6 linked regions of the Macaca mulatta genome follow. The protein of the gene in region 2 purifies or fractionates together with the protein of the main gene of each other region. This does not show direct contact. Links are inferred from orthologs where the notes say so. Each region holds a gene or a part of one and is shown on either strand. Other genes may lie near its edges.

Evidence for each region.
Region 1: the proteins of MAPK14 (region 2) and DUSP9 purify together in Homo sapiens (affinity purification with mass spectrometry; 8 studies listed by BioGRID and IntAct, counting the BioPlex papers as one, with this or other methods). This does not show direct contact. The link is inferred for Macaca mulatta from reciprocal best matches to the Homo sapiens genes MAPK14 and DUSP9.
Region 3: the proteins of MAPK14 (region 2) and CCDC8 purify together in Homo sapiens (affinity purification with mass spectrometry; 3 studies listed by BioGRID and IntAct, counting the BioPlex papers as one, with this or other methods). This does not show direct contact. The link is inferred for Macaca mulatta from reciprocal best matches to the Homo sapiens genes MAPK14 and CCDC8.
Region 4: the proteins of MAPK14 (region 2) and IQGAP1 purify together in Homo sapiens (affinity purification with mass spectrometry; 3 studies listed by BioGRID and IntAct, counting the BioPlex papers as one, with this or other methods). This does not show direct contact. The link is inferred for Macaca mulatta from reciprocal best matches to the Homo sapiens genes MAPK14 and IQGAP1.
Region 5: the proteins of MAPK14 (region 2) and DUSP16 purify together in Homo sapiens (affinity purification with mass spectrometry; 7 studies listed by BioGRID and IntAct, counting the BioPlex papers as one, with this or other methods). This does not show direct contact. The link is inferred for Macaca mulatta from reciprocal best matches to the Homo sapiens genes MAPK14 and DUSP16.
Region 6: the proteins of MAPK14 (region 2) and OBSL1 purify together in Homo sapiens (affinity purification with mass spectrometry; 6 studies listed by BioGRID and IntAct, counting the BioPlex papers as one, with this or other methods). This does not show direct contact. The link is inferred for Macaca mulatta from reciprocal best matches to the Homo sapiens genes MAPK14 and OBSL1.

Annotation. Positions count from the first base shown.
Region 1 is NC_133426.1:159,878,825-159,882,947, reverse strand, and holds the start of DUSP9 (dual specificity protein phosphatase 9), read right to left. Parts: upstream 2,801-4,123; 5' UTR 2,659-2,800; exon of another isoform or gene 1,657-2,658; coding exon of another isoform or gene 1,599-1,656; intron 563-1,598; exon of another isoform or gene 126-562; intron 1-125. UniProt on the Homo sapiens protein: Inactivates MAP kinases. Has a specificity for the ERK family.
Region 2 is NC_133409.1:146,147,259-146,149,459, forward strand, and holds part of MAPK14 (mitogen-activated protein kinase 14), read right to left. Parts: intron 2,090-2,201; exon of another isoform or gene 1,620-2,089; coding exon 1,446-1,619; exon of another isoform or gene 681-1,445; coding exon 613-680; 3' UTR 1-612. UniProt on the Homo sapiens protein: Serine/threonine kinase which acts as an essential component of the MAP kinase signal transduction pathway.
Region 3 is NC_133424.1:58,899,860-58,903,990, forward strand, and holds the start of CCDC8 (coiled-coil domain-containing protein 8), read right to left. Parts: upstream 2,801-4,131; 5' UTR 2,665-2,800; coding exon 1,024-2,664; 3' UTR 840-1,023; exon of another isoform or gene 413-839; intron 1-412. UniProt on the Homo sapiens protein: Core component of the 3M complex, a complex required to regulate microtubule dynamics and genome integrity. It is unclear how the 3M complex regulates microtubules, it could act by controlling the level of a microtubule stabilizer.
Region 4 is NC_133412.1:80,384,156-80,387,655, forward strand, and holds part of IQGAP1 (ras GTPase-activating-like protein IQGAP1), read left to right. Parts: intron 1-2,872; coding exon 2,873-2,981; intron 2,982-3,500. UniProt on the Homo sapiens protein: Plays a crucial role in regulating the dynamics and assembly of the actin cytoskeleton.
Region 5 is NC_133416.1:14,928,438-14,931,937, forward strand, and holds part of DUSP16 (dual specificity protein phosphatase 16), read right to left. Parts: intron 523-3,500; coding exon 352-522; intron 1-351. UniProt on the Homo sapiens protein: Dual specificity protein phosphatase involved in the inactivation of MAP kinases. Dephosphorylates MAPK10 bound to ARRB2.
Region 6 is NC_133417.1:124,792,014-124,794,388, reverse strand, and holds the end of OBSL1 (obscurin-like protein 1), read left to right. Parts: coding exon 1-56; intron 57-375; coding exon 376-480; intron 481-793; coding exon 794-1,063; intron 1,064-1,742; coding exon 1,743-1,750; 3' UTR 1,751-1,875; downstream 1,876-2,375. UniProt on the Homo sapiens protein: Core component of the 3M complex, a complex required to regulate microtubule dynamics and genome integrity. It is unclear how the 3M complex regulates microtubules, it could act by controlling the level of a microtubule stabilizer.

The sequences.
Region 1 (4,123 bases), on a different chromosome or scaffold from region 2:
CTCTCCTCCAGGCAGCCTTCCCAACTCAGAGCCAGTAGTCTCCCTCCTCTGTGCTCCCTAGTGTGGTCACTTTCCCCCTTTCTCAGTGTGTTCCTGGGGCAGGGACTTTGTCTTCTGTCTTCTACCTTCTCCTGTCTCACAGCCTAGCTCCACAGTGGCGGAGGTGGTCACCGGCACCCAGCCTGGGGGCTGCCTCCAGGCCCACTGCAGCTGTGGGTGGGAGCTAAGAGTGGGCAGGGGTTGAAGGCACCACGGAGGTTCTGCCATGTGCCAGTCTGGTTGTGGATAGTGGGGGTGGCACAGGGCTATGACCAGCAGGGAGCTGGACAGCCACTTCCCCCGCCCGCCCTGCTGTGGGGGCTCAGTTTGGCTGGAGAAGGAGCTCCTGAGGTGCTCAGACGTGCTCTCTGGAGAGGGATCCCTGGAGGTGAGAGCTGGGCTGGGATGAGGACGGGGACAGGCAACCTCCGCAATGGTGAAGGAAGGGGAAGCCTAGGATCCAAGGGTCCACGTCTCCTGACGCCTGGCGAGGGACTCCCCTGCACCCAACTGCGGAGTCCTGCTGGCAAGCCCTCCCGCCGGGAGAAAGCATTTGGGAGGAGGCCACTAGGGGCTCAATTTCCAAAGTCAGAGCTCAGTGCTTGGGGCCCACAGCGCCCGCAGCGCCAGCAACAGGACAAATGGGAACCTGTTGCCACCTCCGCACTGCAGGGCTGAGCGCAGCCAACCCCCTAACGCCCCTCTCACCGGCGACCCTAGGCGGGCCGTCCCAACTCAAGCCCCCTGCAGCGCCGGCTCTGGGCTCCGACCCGCCCACAGCCGCTCGCGGGTGCGCTGTGCTGGGGGAGGCCGCGCCGCGCGCCCGGGCCTCGCCTGGCCCCCTCCGGCTGGCGGAGCCAGGCCGCGCGCTCGCTGCTCGCCGCAGGGTGGGCGCTGCGCCTGCCGCCCCCGCCCCCGCCCCCGCCCCCGCCCCCGCCGGGCGCCCTGGGCCTCCGCCGGGCCGGGCCAGCGCCCCCTGGAGGCCGAGGGGACGCCGCCGCCTGCAGGCCTCGCGCGCGCCGCGTGCGCCCTCTGGTCCCGGGAGCCTCCCGAGAGCGGCGCCGCGCCGCCTTCCCCCACGAAATGCATCGTTCCCGCCGGGCCGAGTGACAGGATTTCGGCTGTCGCGGCCGGGTCACATGGCCAAGAGCACAAGTCCCAGCGACAGCGTGCCTGCCAAATCCAGTGTCTTTTCCATCAAATCCACTTTCTGCTGGGGATGGCTTTCTGCTTTTCCTGGTCGGTCTCCTCGCGGGACTGGGAGTTCCTCCAAGGCAGGAACGGGTGTGTGCCCGGCCCCAAGCTGGCCCCAGCCCCCAGTGCAGGGCCTGGCACGCGCCCGGCGCTCGCGGAAGAAATGCTCGTTAACAAAGAAGGCATGAATGAATGAAACCAATTGTTGCCTGAGGGAGCTGCTCCTGCTTTTCCTTCTGCGGATCACACACTCCTCCCCCACCCCGACACGCACAAGCACACGTGCACACACAGCCCTCCCCGTAACACACACGCAGGCAGGCACCCAGACAGCGCGCGCGGACGCCAGCCCCCATGGAACCCACCTACTACGTGCTTGCCGGGCAGCTGGCGTCCTTTTGGTCCCACCTGGGCCGCCTCCATTTCAGCGCCGGGCTCTCTCCGCCTCCTCCCCGCCCCTCCCCGGGGCCCCTTGCTTCCACATCTAAGTACCCTACCTTGGACCCCAAAGTGCCTTCTTTATCTCTTAGGGAAGAGGCCAAACCAGTCGCTGGGGAGTCTCAAGGTCTGTCTAGGGAGGCACCTGGGGGGCCCAAGGCTGCTGAGCCGCTGCCGAAGGAGAGCCAGAGGTGCCTGGCAGGGATGCCACCAAATGCTGCAGCCTCTAGAGCCCGCGTGCCAGGTGTTGGGGGGGGGAGGAAGGGAGGGACTCAGAGATGTGCTGGGGGGTGTCGAAGGCTATTTGTGATGGGGGCGGGGCAGGGTGCTGGAGAGCGTGAATCCAGCAGGTGTGCGCGCTTGCTGGGGTGGATGAGAGTGCGCCTTGGAGATGCTGGAGGTGTGTGCTTGGGACGTGGGGAGTGTCAGCCACTGGGATATGGGTTTCTGATGGGACCTTGCTCCGGGGTGGGTGGACTGCAGTGTCTGTGGGCTGGGAACGTGGGTGGGGTGTCTGTAATGGGCAGATGGGGAGTTCGAGGTGGTGGGGGCATGGTAGGGGGAGCTATGTTAGTGCAGGTATCGCAGAGATGTGTTGGAAGCGTGCGTGTGCGCCTGGGTGTGTATTGGGGCGTGGCAGGGTCTCGGTGGGTTGGCATGAGTTGGGGACAGTGGTGAGTGGTGGGGCAGGGGCTGCTAGTGTGTGCACTACAGGAACCCGGGTCTGTGGTGCGAGGTTTGTACGCGAGCGAGTGTGCAGCCGGTGTAAGTGACAGGGGACACGGGAGGTGCACAGGCGGGGTGCGGGGGTGTGCGGCGGCAGCACCGAATGGGTCTCGTGGGGGCGCGTGCGCCGGCTTCGTGGGGTGTGCGTTGTCAGGACTTTGGGGCTGCAGGATGGAGGAGCGCACGTCGGGGCGGGGGCAGTCAGGCCGGGTGGGGTGGGGGTGGGGTGGGGGTCCCCTGGGCGCCGCGTGCTCCACTCACCTCCGCTCTGCTCGGTTCTCCGCGCCGGTTCCCTGCGTCGCGGCCGGGAAGTTTCCGAAGCTCGGGCGGCGGGAAGCGCCACTGCTGCCGCCTAACGCCACCGGAACCCTGGGTGGCGGCCTCGCCTGGAGCGGAGGGGCAGCCGCCGCCGCTGCGGAGGGAAACTCCAAATCCCGCCTCCGCCGCCGCTGCCTCCTCCGCCTCTGCCGCCGCCTCCTCTCCTCCCGTAGCCGTCTTCTCCGCCCCCTGCCCAGGAGGGGCACTGTAGCTGGCGGCGCGCAGGGAGGGAGCGGGGAGGGGCCGCAGCCTGCCCGGCGTCTCCCTCCACCTCCCACGCCCCCGCCCGCCTTCCTCCCACCTGCAAGCCTCTGCCCTCTAGGCCAGTCCTGTCCGACGCGCCCTGCGCTCCCCGGTCCCCAGTGGCGCTACTGAGTGGGGGCTCCCGAGCTTGGGGCGCGGGAGTGGGGTTGGGGGCCCTGAACTAAGCTGGACCTGGGCTAGGGGGACAGTTACAGCGCAGAATCTGCACTGGCACCCCAGCGAAGGGGCCCATTGAGGACCGGGCACAGCTTGGTCCCCCAGAGCCACCTCCTGCTCCCACAGTGGAGAGGGTATAAAATCCGGCTGACAGCGCTGCCAATTCCACCCCCCACCCCAGGTCCCCCTGCAGTGTCTCCTCTCATTCTCATGTGTCAGATTCTGGCTAATAGTAATAGCATTTGAGCCTCAGTGCCTGGAAGAGGTGGAGCCAGGACGTTTGGGTGGGGGAGGGGCTGGGAGCGAGTAGGGAGAGGCTGTTGTCACTAGGTCCCGTTAGCTTTCTCCTCTGTACCAAAGGTCACACGCATTGCCCATCGAGGACCTCATTTTATCCTTACAGCAGTTCTGGAAGTCTAAGGAGTTTGTCCCCATGCTACAGCCAGGGAAACTGAGGCCGTGGCTCCCTGGTGGTGGCACAATAGTGTAGTGGCAGAGTAGGATGTGGCTTGGTCTGGCTGAGTTCAGAAGCCTAGAGCCTGAGCAAGTGTGAGTGCAGAAGGTTGCGTGGGGAGGGGAGGCAAAGGGCAGCCCGCGGGGATGTGCACCTGGCCTTCCTGGGGCTTCCAGGCCAGCCTGGCCTCGTGCCTTCAGTGGGGGATTGCCTGAGACTCGGCAGGAGGCTGTGAGCATCAAGGGCCGTCTTCTCCGCCCAGGGAGCGCAGGATAAGGTGCGGCCAGGCAGGGCTGGGATGCCAGCAGCTCCGCTGGCCGCTTGGCTGTGTCTGCGGCAGCGCTGAATTCCCCTGAGTCATTACCCCTGGAAGAGACGAGGGCAGCACTTTGCCTCTGGAGCCCAGGTCCTTGTCCCATCTGGGTCTCCATTTCCTGGTCTGTAGGTTTGGGGAGAGAGGTGGGACCATATGATCTTCAAGGGCCCTCCTAGCTGTGCTGCAGTTTCAAGCCATGGCACCGGAGCTGGGAGGGT
Region 2 (2,201 bases):
CATATTTACAGTTTCAAATACACCTGTCAAGATCTGAGAACCATACGAAGCAAGTTAATCACAGGCTAGTGCACAGAAGCCGGTTGGTCCTTTTTGGCTGTACGCATCACTGAGGGACAGCGTTGGGTCTGAAGCAACCAGAAGGTGTGGGCCTTCTCTTGTGCCACTGTGGGATGTTGTCAAGTCTATGCCCCACCGTCAAGGTGGGGGTCACAGGAGAAGCCAAAGTGGCAAAAGCATGACCAGGATTGGGGACAATTCATATTTTTTTACTTTGCATTGAACATATTCCTAAAAAGACAGCAGCTTGCCTGCCTGAGCCAACTCTCAGAAAGAAGAGCAAGGTGGAGGCTGCCCTGAAGCATCCACAACCTCATGTAAAGTCACCACAACCTCATGTAAAGTCACTGTGATCATAGTTTGTTCATATTGTCTTACCTTCCCACAAAGACAGACACACACATGCACACACACTAACACGCGCACACACACCCCCTTCCACCATGGAGGAAATCTCTGCAACAAGAGGCACTTGAATGATATTTGGAGAGTTCCCGTGAAAAGGCCTTCCCCTCACAGTGAAGTGGGATCGACAGAACAGAAACCAGGTGCTCAGGACTCCATCTCTTCTTGGTCGAGGGGCGGTGGCACAAAGCTGACGACTTCATCATAGGTCAGGCCTAGACATCGGGAAGGAAAAGTAAGACGTGAGAGTTTAGGCTGTTCTCTTTGCTGGCGAGCACTCTGACTTCACTCAAGATCCTTCCTCCCTGTCCAGGTAGTGGTATGATGGGCTACCTCACAGCTGGTATGTAATATTCTAATGGAGCACGTTATCACACAGAAGTTCGAGGGACATAGAAAAGAACCTTTTTTTTTCCTCATGTTTTTCATTGCTGAATGCCTCTTAAGTTCTCTACGGAGGTGCTCAAGAATGAAAGAGCACTCTCACAAGCTACGGCAACAGATGGTCTTGGCTCTTTGGATTTAACTGGAGTTCTGAACTTGTGTTTTATGGAAAGAATATGGGACTGGACACAGGATACACGGGTTCCATTCCTGGCTATGTCCCTAACTAGTTCTAAGTTAACTGGTAAGACATAAATTCTCTTTGCCCCAGTTCTACTAACTGTAAAACTGTAAAAATATCCTATTCTTTACTTAGCTCAGAGAGATGTTGTAAATGCAATAACTCTGAAAACCTCAAATCTCCATGCAAAGCTCCTATATGTGAGGGGCTGTGCATAAAATCAGACCAGATGTTAAGTATCTCAAAGGTCCAGAGAGTATCACTGTCTACAACACTTTCCACCAGAGAACATATTCATTCTGCATTACAGACCTCAACTACAAGCTTTAGCAAGTTGGTTATGACCATTCAGTTTTTATTTTCCCACCGCTTTCGGTTAGTGGTACAAGATGTTAATCCTACCCTTAGGACTTACTTTTCCACTCATCTATAAGGAGGTCCCTGCTTTCAAAGGACTGATCATAAGGATCGGCCACTGGTTCATCATCAGGATCGTGGTACTGAGCAAAGTAGGCATGTGCAAGGGCTTGGGCTGCTGTAATTCTCTTATCTGAGTCCAATACAAGCATCTTCTCCAGCAAGTCGACAGCTATCAGTACCATAGACAGGAAGGAAAATAGTTTTTAATATGTTACAAAAAAGTATGCCTTATTAAGCAAACATAGTTTTGACCCTTCATATCCAAACAAGGAATTCTCCTCCAAAAATACCTACTCTAGGATATACTGGCCCTTTTCTCCTTTACGTGTGTGTGTGTATCTGTATTTTGTATGTTTAAAATGTTTTATTTTATTTTTGATTCGGGGGTACGCGTGCACATTTGTCACATGGGTCTCACGGATGGGGACTGGGCTTCCAGTGTGCCCAATAACCAAATAGTGAACATTGTGCCCAACAGGTTATTTCTCAACCCTCACCCTCCTCCTGTATTTTGTATTTTTAAAGAACATGTTACTAAAGAAGAATTTTTTTAAATGACTAGGATTGTGTTTGAACAGGCTTTTGTGGAACGTCAATGTCAAACTGCTACCAGTGTAGTCAAACTGTATAAAAACAAAAGCCTACAGCTACAGTAATCTAGAATAGGTAGGCAGGACTGTTTTTTGTGTGTTTGTTGTTGTTGTTTTTTGTCCCCCTTCGCTGTTTATTTACTAACATAAGACAAATAAAT
Region 3 (4,131 bases), on a different chromosome or scaffold from region 2:
CCACGTCCGGCCAACCACAGCCCCTCTTTTAGGCCTTTTCTTATTGCAATGAGTTTTCAATGTGTCCAATGGCCGAATTGCCCAGATGTTTGGAAGCTTGATGCAAACAGAATTCAGAGCCACACAGGCACCGCTAGCAAATCCACATCTCTGATGCTGAGGGCCCCAGAATCTGTGTTTTGAACGCATTTTTCAGATGCTTTTACTGTACCTTACAACCAAGATCGGGAGAGGTATGCAAACCAAGGGCCCTGTCCCCTCCAAAGCAGCAGAGTCCAGGGGCATGAGGATGGCAAGCGAAGTGACAACATAAACACAGGTGTCTCCATCTTCAAGGATGGGAGTAGAACGGACAGGAAGGGCCGGGTCACCCCCAGAGCATTCGTCAGTTGCCAAGTCCAAAGCTAAGAAACCAGTTCATAAATGTTTTTTTATTTGCATGTTGGCTCAAGTCCTCTTTTTAAGTCCAAGGAGGCAGTCCACGTTAAGTGTGCAGGCAAAAAAGGGACAGGAAAAGCAGGCAATTTCTCCCCTGCCCTCCCGCTCTCCTTTTATCAAGCTGAGCACCTTGAGTTGCATTTGAGGAAATTAAAACTATAGGTGACAGAACCCCCTTGTATCGAATTCTTTCTTTACATTTTTTGGGTTGCTACAAGGAATCACTATATATATGTATATATGTATATATATATATATATTTTATCAGGTGGTACGTGTGGTGGCTCACACCTGTCATCCCAGCACTTTGGGAGGCCGAGGCAGGAGGATCACTTGAGGCCAGAAGTTTGAGGCTGCAGTGATCATGCCACTGCACTCCAGCCTGGGCAACAGAGTGAGACCCTGTCTCTAAAAAATTTTTTAAAAATCAACGCATGAGACAAAACTTTAACAAGAGAATAAAGAGGGTTGTAAGGTGGAGATGTGGGCAGCACTCCAACTCCACTTTCAAGTTCAGAGGCAGAAAGAGCAACTTTCTCTCCCACGCTTGTAGGGAGGGCCCGTGGGCTGTCTCTAGCCCTCACCTCACAGCTGGTCTTCTCGCTCTCCCTGTTCAGCTTCTGCTCTGGCCTCGGCCCTCAGCACCCTGAGGCTCCTGGCCTCGCCTGCCCTGGGGACTCTCTTGGGCAGGGTTGGCAACCGGGGAGTGTGCCAGAAGGCTCTCCGGGGCTTGCGAAACCACGAAAAGCGTCCAGGGGTCTGGAACCTCACTGTCTTGACCTGTTTCCGGGCCCTGGCTCCTGAAGCTGTTCCTGTGGCCCCTTGGGTAGCTGAGGCTTCAGCTTCCTGGATACCTGGGGCCCCTGCCGTCTGATTATGTGCAGCCTCTGCCCTTTGGCCAGCCCGGGCCTGTGCCCTCTGATTACCTGCACCCTGGACAGCTGGGGCCCTTTCCCTCTGGTCATGTATGGCCTCTTCCCTTCGAGGATCTGTAGCCTCTGACCCCTGGTCAGCTAGAGCCTCTTCCCTCAGGTTATCTGCACCCTGTGGCCTATGGTCAGCTGGGGCCTCTGCCCTCTGATTATCTGCAGCCTCTTCCCCATGGTTATCTGCAGCCTCTGCCCCCTGGTCAGCTGGGGCCCCTGCCCTCTGATTACCTGCAGCCTCTTCCCTCTGGTCAGCTATGGCCTCTTCCCTCTGATTATCTGCAGCCTCTTCCCTATGGTTATCTGCATCCTCTGCCCCCTGGTCAGCTGGGGCCCCTGCCCTCTGATTACCTGCAGCCTCTTCCTCCTGGTCAGCTATGGCCTCTTCCCTCTGATTATCTGCAGCCTCTTCCCCCTGATCAGCCTCGATGTCTGCCCCCCGACCTGTGGGCGCTGTCTGCTCCTTCCTGCGGCGCCTAAACGAGGCCCAGTTGATCTTGGGCCTCCATCGCCTAGGGGAGGCCTGCGGGGCACAGACATCTCCCACATTTTCCACAGGATCCCCGGGATCCCCCGGGCTGGTGCCGGAGGATACCCCTGCGCTCTCCACTGGGATGGAGGCCAGCCGGGCCTCGCCCACCCCGGGGCCCGCCCTCGGCGCCCAACCCTTCACCCTCCGCTTCAGCTTCCCCCAGGACACCTGGCTGACATACTCCCGCCACCTGTCCGCCTTGGACAGCTGAGGCCCCAGGTTGTCCTCAAACATGGGCACTGGCAGGTTGACGCGGCGGCGGGCAGGCGGCGCGGGGGGCTGCTTCTCCTGTCGCCGGAGAAATGCCTCCACCAGTTCCTCATCATCCTCGCTCTCCACGTCGCTTCCCAGGAACTTGCTGCCCAGGTAGCTGACGGGCATTTTGCGCACCTTCTTGCCCCGCCGCGGGCCCTGGCGGCTCTTGTCTCTGGAGGTCTCGAAGTCGCTGAACTCGCTGTCGCTGGCGTTGCTGCTGTCATACGTGCCCACGACCAGCCGGGGCGTAGGAGTCACCATCTGCTGCACTCTCCTCCTCACTCGGGGCTCCTTGGGCTTTTTGGGGGGCTGGGGCGGGTGCGGGGTGCTCTTCTCGATGATGCGGGCCACGTCCTCCAGGGTGCGGCCCTGTTCTTCCAGGAACTGGGTCAGCCGCTCCCGAAATTCTGCTTCCTTGGTGGCAGGCTTAGAGATGACTCTCCAGACGCCCCCGGCCAGCCTGACCTCCCGGGGGATGAGCAAATAGTCGACGTCCTCCCCGATCTGCAGCATCCCCACCGTGGAGTCCTCCTCCTTGCGGAACACCTTGCCGATCTTCTTAAATGTTCCCACGGGTTTTAGGGCTTCCACGAGGACGTCCAAATCCACATCTTTGCAGACATCGGGGACGCTCCAAAGAATGAGGCAGTCGGGGGACGGGAGGAAGCCCCAGGGGAACCAGCCCCCCACGTGGCTTTTCTCGAGAGTCTTTAAGATCTCCAGGGTGATATCTGGGGTGAGGGAGCAAAGAGCCCCAACAAACTACTGTAGCCCTTAGTCTTGAGGGAGGGACTGGATGGGGGGAGTCCCAGCAACGCTGACCGCAGAGTCTCACCTCCCCAGCCAGGGACGAGTCAACGCCTCCAATCTCTTCTCCTGCAACAAGTCCAGTCTTGACCAAGTCCGGCTCCTCCACCAAGGACTTGGGAGAATCAATTTCCAGGATGCCTACGTGAGCCGGAGGCGAGGTCAGTCCCAAGGTTCAAGGCCCACTCCAAGCTGGAAACGTGGTGTCCCAGCTCCAAGTTGGGGCGCGCGGGCTGCCAGCGATTCTTCCTGCCCCAGGCCCCTGGGACGCGGTTGGAACTTGGGAGAGGACTTCGCAGACAAAGACGGTCCAGTCGAGGCTATTCAATATGGCGGAGGCGCTGAGAGGCCTCAGCCCGGCCCCCCAGTAGGGTCCCCCGCCCCCAGGCAGGCCACCACCCAGCTCCAGGCTGACCTTGACGCGCCGCAGCCTGCCAGCCCGCGCGCTTAGGGCTCTGCACGGTGGAGCGCACCAGCAGGAAGTTCCTCCTTGCCCTCCGCCAGAATGAGGCCCACCTTCCCCCGTCTCATCTTACACTCCCAGACTCTGGAAGACTGACAGGGGGGCTGTCCACTCCCTTCGGGGCAGCCTCCTTCCCCTCCCCCACAGGGGTGTGGCCGCGCCTGGGGCCTAGCTGGGCCCATTGCTTCCCAGCGAAGCGGCGGTGGCCCACGTCAGCACCTTTGCTGAAAGGCAGCGGTTCCCAAACCTGCCATCCGAAATGTACAAGTTTCCAGCCAAGTCCTGGAGGTGGGTGTGCCAGTGGATTCTACCTTTTGAGAGCCACTGGCACCATAGATTAGCATTTTAAATTCACGCGACTATCCGTACCCGTACACCCAGACGCGTGGGTAGAGAAATGGGTACCGGGATCTTATTGCAACAGTCCCCCTGTGACGCTTGGCAGGAGGTCAGGGCTCTACATATTTTTGAGTGGATGAATAAACCTGAATGTTCATAGCCAGGCGCGGTGGCTCATGCCTGTAATCCCAGCACTTTGGGAGGCCTAGGCGGGTGGAACACTTGGAGGCCAGGAGTTCGAGACCAGCCTGGCCAACATGGTGAAACCCTCGTCTCTACAAAAAATACAAAAATTAGCCGGGTGTGGTGGTGTGCGTGTGTAGTCCCAGCTACACGGGAGGCTGAGGCAGGAGAATGGCATGAACCCGGGA
Region 4 (3,500 bases), on a different chromosome or scaffold from region 2:
TTCACTTCTTTGGGTCTGATCTTAATTTTTCATCATTAAAGCAGGAAGCCACTCCTTGGATTTCTTCTGTTTCTGAACCAAGAATAAATTAAGAGTAACAATAAGAGGAGTTTGCTTTATTCCACTTACAGCTAGGAACCAGGCACTTAACCTTCATTTTCTTTTCTGGGAAGTATCAGCTTGCTTTGCAGGTGGTTCATGGACCTGACATGTCATCCTCCCATAGATCCTGGGCCCAGCCTCATTAGCAAGCATTTATTAAGCGTCTGCTCAGTCAGCCCTGTGACGTCAGGCTACTGATCTTTCCCTTCTTGTGTCTGGGGAAAAAAAAAAAACTTTTAAAAAAAGAACTTTTACAGTTTTCTGATTCTAAAATAATATGTATTCATTATTAAACTTTGAAGATACAGTAAAGCATAAAAAAGAAAACACCTGTAATTTCACAAGCCAGAGATAACCAGGGAAATCATTTTAATGTATTTTTTTTCTATTCACATAAAGATTATCCACAACTCACCCACTTATTTATCTAACTACTTTATATATATTTTTTTTTGTTCTTCTTCTTCTCCCCCCCCCCTTTTTTTCTTTTTTTGACGGAGTCTCTCTGTCACCCAAGCTGGAGTATGGTGGCGCGATCTCAGCTCACTGCAACCTTGGCCTCCAGGGTTCAAGCAATTCTCCCACCTCAGCCTCCCAGTTAGGTGGGACTACAGGCATGCATCACCACACCCAGCTAAGTTTTTGTATTTTCAGTAGAGATGGGGTTTCACCATGTTAGCCAGGATGGTCTTGATCTCCTAACCTCGTGATCCTCCCATTTCGGCCTCCCAAAGTGCTGGAATTACAGGCCTTTTTTTTGGAGGGGGAACAGTCTCTCTGTGTAGCCTAGGCTGGAGTGCAGTGGCATAATCTCGGCTCACTGCAACCTCCAGCTCACTGTAACCTCCGCCTCCCAGGTTCAAGTGATTCTCCTGCCTCAGTCTCCCAAGTAGCTTGGATTACAGGTGCCTGCCACCACATCCAAATAATTTTTGTATTTTTAGTAGAGACAGGGTTTTACCATGTTGGCCAGGCTGGTCTCAAACTCCTGATCTTAAGCTGATCTGCCCTCCTCAGCTTCCCAAAATGCTGGGAGGATTATAGGGATGAGCCATTGCACCCAGCCTAAAATAACTACTTAATATTTTTTAACACAAACTGGGACAATACTGTTTATGGTCATGTATCCAACTTTTTTCTTATAACATTATGCTGTGAGCATTTTTTATATTCATTGAAAGCATCCTTTTTAATGGGTACATAATTTTTAAATTTTTTTCTAGAGAAAGAGTCTTGCTATGTCACCTAGGCAGGAGTGCACTGGCATGATCACAGCTCACTGCAGCCCTAACCTCCTGGGCTTAAGAGATCTTCCCACCTTAGCCTCCCATGTAGCGGGGACCATAGGCATGTGCCACCATATCCAACTAATTATATTTTGTAGAGACAGGGTTTCACTTTGTTGCCCAGGCTGGTCTTGAACTCCTGGGCTCAAGCAGTCCTCCTGCCTTGGCCTCCCAAAGTGCTGAGATTACAGGCATGAGTCAATATTGCCCTTCTTTTTGTCATTATTTTCCACTACTGTTCAAGTGCCTACCTCTATTTGCCTTTCTTTCTTCTTTTTAATTTGCTTCTATGGGTTTAGAAACTAAATAGCCAACTAAATCTGATAAAATTATTTATCACTTAAGATAAATATCTTTAAGGAATAACCCGTGAGGCATTCCAGTTGAATAAAATGCATGTATGTTTCAGTGCATGGGTTTTTGTGACTTCTCCTTTAACTCTCAGTGACCTTTTTGCATCTTTCATGGTTCTCAGCCCTGTTTGTAATAGGTAAGGTAGCTCCATAGTTGAGTTCTGGAAATCTGGGGTGCTATACTTTGATCACCCAGAGAATGCCTTAATCCCCTTTTTTTTTTTTTTTTTTTTTTTTTTTGGAGACGGAGTCTTGCTCTGTCACCAGGCTGGACTGCAGTGGCACTATCTCAGCTTACTGCAACCTCTGGCTCCCGGGTTCAATCAATTCTCCTGTCTCATCCTCCTGAGTAGCTGGGACTACAGATGCATGCCACCACACCCAGCTAATTTTTGTATTTTTAGTAGAGACGGGATTTTACCATGTTGGCCAGGATGGTCTCGATCTCTTGACCTTGTGATCCACCCGCCTCGGTCTCCCAAAGTGCTGGGATTACAGATGTGAGGCATCGTGCCCGGCTGCATAACCCCTTTTCCTTTTGGCTTCCTAAAATTTCCTGGCAGGTAACATGTTGTGAATGAGTGATAACTTAAATATTTTTAATAATAACAATTTATCTTTGGTAATACTGAGTGTGCTTATGTACACAGCACCTACTCTTTCTAGAAAAACCTCCTCCCTTGGAGCTTTTTTTACTGACCCCCTTTTGTTTATTTACTTCTCCCAGTCCTCAAACATGCATGTATTCAAACACACATACCATCTCCTTCCACCCCAGTTTCCTGTTTTCTCCTTTTATCATTAGGTTTCATTTTTGGCCATGTGGAAGTGAAGAGAATTACTATGATGTCATCCCTTCACAGGCCACTTGTGGCACTCCTCAGTGGTTCTTCTTTTATAGAATGCAAGTGCTGCAGGCAGAGAGAGGTTGCCATTCCTCTCTCCAAGTCCCAGAGCAGATGGTACTTAGGCATGGCAATCCGTGCTGCTTCAGGTGCAGAAGTACTTTTGACCTGTATTTTCTACCCCTTTTCACCCTTGAAGACTTGGTTCATCTCCTTTCCCCATTTCACAGAATATTTTTATATAAGAACATAAAAACCATACCCTTACGATGTTATCTTTCAACAGGTTTAAAAATGTTATCTTTGAAATCAGTCCAACAGAAGAAGTTGGAGACTTTGAAGTGAAAGCCAAATTCATGGGAGTTCAAATGGAGACTTTTATGTTACATTATCAGGTGGGTATGCACCAGCAGGAACCAAAAGCTTTCTGGATGAGATTCTTGTCCAAGTAGGAGAACTAGATAAAGAGGAGACTCATCTGAGGAAAGCTGTCTACATTCAGCAGTGAGCTGGGCTCCACACTGTGGGGAAAGAAGCTGAGTGTTGCAGCACGTCTGGTTTGGTGTGTACACTCTGGAGAGCTTTTGCAGATGTAAATCTTCAGAAAACATTTATCTGAAGCTTCCACTTAGTGCTGCCACTAAATTGAGCTGATACCTTGGACTTGAACAAAATGCATAAGTACACATGCTGACATTGCAAAATTGTAAGTCCACTCAGTAGCTTGAAATTTTTTTCTCATTTTGATTTGATGTAGGTACTTAAAGGTTAGATGCACTTCTGACAAGGTGTGTGTAAAGTTTATGTTTGTAAACCACATCCTATCTTAAATCCAAAAAGAACTCGGGAGTAATTCATTTTTACAGCATAAAGATCCCTAAGTTTTATTTTGAAATATCTGATTTTTACACGTT
Region 5 (3,500 bases), on a different chromosome or scaffold from region 2:
AAAAAAATACATACATACTTCCAACAAAACAATATTCCAGTAAATGTTCTCAAAGAGAAACCACAGAATCCAAGGAAATGCCACTTGAATTTCATTTTAACCTTATAAATGATTATTTTTATAATGTATGTAATCCTAGAACGTACTGAACGCTTACTGTGTGACAAACGCTGCTCTAAGCACTCTATAGGTATTTTACACACTCTTATAACTGCCCTATGAGGTAGGTATTACTACTAATCCCATTCATAGATAAGGCTCAGAATCACATAATATAGGCTCAGAATCACGTAATATAATAACTGGAAGAGCCAGGTTATAAGTCTACTTTTCTAAATCCTGTGGAATTACCTTCAACTCTCCCTTGGATGCAGGGACATTGCTGATGATATTCACGGGGTCCTGGCCTCCCAGCTGTGACCAGGCTAAAACGGCCATGGTCCTTTCCCAAACTGATGGAAGAGCCTTGTTTCCCCAAAGCCATATTGCTCAAAGGCTTCAATGAGGGAGAAGAAAGAAGATCTGACAAGACCAGAGAAAGGAGAATCTCTTTAAAGGCAATTTCACACGACACCAATAACAAAGTTTACAGATGAACTAGTTGAAATGTAAATATGGTCACTGGTTTGTTCATGACCATTTACACAAGTTGGTAGTAAAGTTGAGGCCATGTCTTGGCTTTCAGGTCACCCCCTACAGAACAACTTTCAGAGGAGACGCAATTCTGCAATAATCATAAACTGAGCCATCAGCCAGGCTGTCTGAGGTCCAGCTCTAGCGTTAATTAGTACAGTAATCCTATGTCACTTTGACTTCAGTGGACCTCAAAAGTAAATGTGGCTCTAGAAAGTTCTGAGACAGAGAACAGAAACAAAGGAGAGAAAGAAACCATCGTTCAGCCTCAAAACAAAAGAGCCAAACATAACAACAACACTACACTGTAAAACATATTATAAAACAAAAGAAGCTTTTTCAACTGATATCTAGAACAAATTCAAACAAACAAATATTTTAAAATATCTAACAGATTTAGCTGCAATCAGAACATTCATTTAGTGCTCAGTTTGGCTTGAAATGTCCCAAACTGGCTCCTAGTCACTTCCAGAAAACACCACCTCGGCCAGAGTACATTTTCACTGATCTTTATCTATGACAATGTTCCACTCTGCTGACATCCTCCTTCATTGACAGTTTTTTCCATTCACTGACCTTTCATTCACTGCTGCACTCTAGTGACTCCAGTTTCGTTTCATTAATTAACAACAGATGAGACACTGCCTGATTCCCTTGAACCTCTGAAAACTATCTGTGGCCTCACCAGCAACTCAGTTTTGAAACGTGTTTAAAATGTCCCTCTTCCTTTCATAAGTTCTCTTACAAATAAGATCTACTTCAGAAGGAAAGTTCAATCATGCAAACTTTCTGCTCCAAATGGCTGACGGAGACAGAGAATGAAGTGTCCTCTTATCTGCCCTCGTCATAACTTTGTTGTCCCAGGGACTCCAAGCTAGATTCCATTACAAGACATAACATCGACCATTATCCGCTATTTACTGTGAAAAGCAGTACCGAAAAACTGATAAGCTTCTTGAAAAAATTTGCGCATATTTTTTAAAGTTGTCTGAAGACTTGACTCACTGTCCAATCTTGCCAAGTTTCTCCTGTTCCTAATTTTATGCTGTTTATCATCTGGGAATGCAGAAAACGGAGTCATAGTAACCTATATGTGTTTCCCTAACATGGACCTGAACCTAAGAATGACTGTGCCCCCTATTCTGGAAGTATCTGTGCTAAGAGGAAGGAAGACAAATACGCAGACACTTCCAGCCTGCTGAGAAACAGGGATGGGCAGTCTCTGCAGGCAGAGAAGCGTCTTGGCCTCCACAGCTGTGGGTGCACAGGCAGCCAGACCGCAATGCTAAAAACCCATGTTTCTGTTTGTTAGTCTTCCATAAATCCAACCAAAAGAATGCATGTTTACAAATAAAAACATAGATACTACTTCCGACACAGAAAACATGTGGTACATACAGCTTCTAAGGCATTCCTGATTTAGATAACACCTTATCCTAATTCAGCCATGAAAACATTTTCCCTTAGGAGCACCTCCTTCACAATTCCAATCATAAATACGATTTTCTGTAAAAGCAAACGTGAACCACCATTCCATTTTGGGAGGGAAAAATCTGCTAAGCAAAATAAAATACATATAACAACTCTACTAAACAATTCTAATTAGTCACTCTTTTTTCTTCCCTCTCACCCATGCAATCAGTTATAAATCACAGTATTTTCTTAAAATGGAAGTATATTTACATAATAAAAGTAGTACTCTACTGTGGCTTAGTGATATTCTTAAAATGTTTTTAAGGCCAAAGTTCTAAAAATAGATCCCTATCCTTTTAGCAATTCCATGACTTTAAAGATGGTTTCCTGCAGTGAGAGACAGGACCTTTCCACTCATGCCTTCATTTAAATAGGGAGCAAGTCACTAGAGATTTATCAATTGACAGAGCCGCCTTCAAGGAAGGCAGAATCAAAGAGAACTGCCCTCCCACCCTATATTGTGAATGGATTCCATGGTTATACAAAGAAATAATATTGATACAAAGCTCTACTTTATGGAAGACATTTTTCTAAAAAGTCATATGCAAATTTAACTTTTATATTTTAAATAATCTGCATATAGTTCATATGGTTGCACAGTTTTGAACTATGCAGTTAAATTCTTGTTTTTTGTTTGTTTTTGGAGACGGAGTTTTGCTCTTGTTGCACAGGCTGGAGTGCAATGGCACAATCTCCGCTCACCCACAACCTCCAACTCCTGGGTTCAAGCAATTCTCCTGCCTCAGCCTCCCAAATAGCTGGGATCACAGGCATGCGCCATCACGCCCAGCTAATTTGTCCGGCTAATTTTGTATTTTTAGTAGACACAGGGTTTCTCCATGTTGGTCAGGCTGGTCTCCAACTCTCAACCTGAGGTGATCTGCCCGCCTTGGCCTCCCAAAGTGCTCGGATTACAAGCATGAGCCACCATGCCTGGCCATTACATTCTTTTGTAGTTCTCACATAGTTTAATTATTTTGTAAAACAAAACTCCCTTTTTGTAACATAAACACAATCCTTTCAGTTGCTTATTTTAGAATATATGTGAAAAACTAGAGTACACCTTCACCTGTAGAGGACAGTTCTCTCTTCTCTCCATACTGGAAAGAAAATCTGTTGCTTTATGATCACACAAAGGAGACAACTCTAACATTAAAAATGGAAAATAATGAAAATGTTTATTTTGCAGTAAAGTACTTTAATTGCTCTTAAGAGTAATTCTGTTATGCCTCAGTCTGACATGTCTGATTTAGGCAACTTCGTTCTCTAGACACTCACAGACTAAAGTATGGTCACAATTCTTTCAGGATCAGCAGACAGTAAACATGGAGAGTTGAAACTAGTTGAAGAAAAGAAAAAAAAAAAAAGCAACATAATTTCATACCCCTAAAAAA
Region 6 (2,375 bases), on a different chromosome or scaffold from region 2:
GGAGCTCGGAGGCCGCCCGCTGAGACCCGGAGCCCGCGTCCGCATCAGACAGGAAGGTCTGGCCTCCTGGTTACCCTCTCGGGCCCCTCGCTGCCCCGCCCAGACTCGGACAGATCCCGCCCCACCGGGACAAGCCCCGCCCCTGACTCGGACGGGCCCCGCCCCGCGGCCCTGTGAGCCTCGTCCCCAGTCTTTCCCCCGCCCCCAGCCCCGAGTCTCGGACCGCTAGTCTTCCCGCTCGGTATCCCGGTTCCGCCCACCCTAGCGTACACTAACGGTGTCCGAACCGACCCAGGGGCCTGCTGCGCCCCCACCTTCGTCCCTAGCGCTCCTCAGAGGCGGCTCCGGCCTCGCTAGCGACCCCCTCACCCCCAGGGAAGAAACACATTCTGGTGCTTAGCGAGCTGCGGGCCGAAGACGCCGGTGAAGTACGCTTCCAGGCGGGGCCCGCCCAGTCCTTGGCTCTACTGGAAGTGGAGGGTAAGCACCTGGGGCGGGAGCCACAGAGAGTACATCCTCTGTCTCCTGCCATGGGACTGACGGACTTGGGGCTGGCCCCAAGAACGCTGCCTCTCTCTCTTCCCCTCCCCCCGAGAGGCTGTCCTGGGTCGGGTCACAGAGGGCAGCGCGTTTCCCCGGGAAGAGGAGACTTTGGGTCTGAGGTGCAAGGGAACGGACTGGTGGCATAGAGGGCTAAGGCCAGGAGTGGAGGCTGCAGGGAGGGAAGATGCATCTCTTCTCCTGGGGGCCATGCGTGTCCCTATTAACTTAAGCTCCTGCCCCCTATCCCCAGCATTGCCTCTCCAGATGTGCCGCCACCCCCCTCGCGAGAAGACCGTTCTGATGGGCCGCCGGGCGGTGCTGGAGGTGACTGTGTCCCGCTCGGGGAGCCACGTGTGCTGGTTGCGGGAGGGGGCCGAGCTGTGCCCGGGAGATAAGTATGAGATGCGCAGCCACGGCCCCACCCACAGCCTGGTCATCCATGACGTTCGACCTGAGGACCAGGGCACCTACTGCTGCCAGGCCGGCCAGGACAGCGCCCACACACGGCTGCTGGTAGAGGGTGAGTAAAGTCAACTGGGCAGAGGCAGGAGAGCGAGGGCGCCTGGGAGCTGATGGGTTAAGCCACACTTGGCTTTCCAAGACTTGGGGTGGCAACGGGTCCTGGGATACGTCGGAGGTGGGGATGGGGGAGGGGAAGGGTAGAGCACACCTAGGGCTGGAAAGCCCTGGAACCGCTTGGCTTAGATCAGCTGCTCCTGGTCAGCTGTTCCCACCTTTCTACGCCCCTTCCTGCCAGGCTTCTCCTCTCTCCTGCCACTGGACCATGTTTGTCTCTCTTGAACAGCCCTGTTTCTACCAGTTCCTTTCCTCCCCACTTCCCCAACACTGCCTGCCTCCAGCCTGTCCCTCCTCTCTCCTGCCCTCTGCCCAGCTTGCCTCTACCCATCTCAGCAAGTTCCATGTCAGCCTCGGCAGAAGCCTCTTTCTTTCCTTTTCCACGTAGGAGACATCCCACCTTCTATCCCGAATCCCAGCATTCCCTTCAGGTGCTGCCCTGTGCCCCATCCCTAGCTGACCCCCACCTTCCTGCTGCCAAGACAGCCCTGACCAAGACGGAGAAAGGGTAGGGCATAGCCTGGGGCCCCAGCTCTTCCTGTACTGGTGTCCAGGCTCTGCCAGGGGAGAGAAAGGTGGTACCCACTCTCTCCCCAGCCACATGTGGAGTCATTCCTCTGCAGGTAACTAGGAGGACCGAACCAGGCCAGGCGGGTGCCCTTGGACAACTTGGAAGGCGTGCGCCCTTACCCTGGGCAGGGGTAGAGAGACAGGGAAACCAGAGGTGTCAGGAGACAATAAAAGTGCTACAGCTCATTTCCTTGCCTCTCTGAGTGATGTGGGAGGGCAGACCTTGCCTGGAGCCTCTGTGCAGTGAGCGACACTGGGGACCGAGGGCTGTAGTGCTTGTACCTGGCCCATGAAAGTGCCAGCCACCAAAGACCACCATTCCTGGCAGAGGCCACGCAGTTTGGCACATTTATAAAAGATGTAAAACAGAGTGGGGTGGGGGAGACAGAAGCATGAGGTGTCCAGGTTGGCATGACAGACACCAGACATGCACCGTGCATTTCAGCCCCTCCCCAACTCCCTTCCCAACCCAGCCCAGAGCAGCACCCCCCACCCCCATCTCCTGCCACTGCCCTCAGGCTGGTGGCTTTGCAGAGGCCAGGGGACCACGGTGAGGGGTGCTACAGTTTGCCCCATAGACAAGGACAAGAACCCTTAGATGAGTCTGGCTGGGAGGCAGGGCGATGGGAAGGAAGGTAGCCCCTCCGCGGAGACATGCAGGAGGTGGCCCATGGGACCCCGGCGGG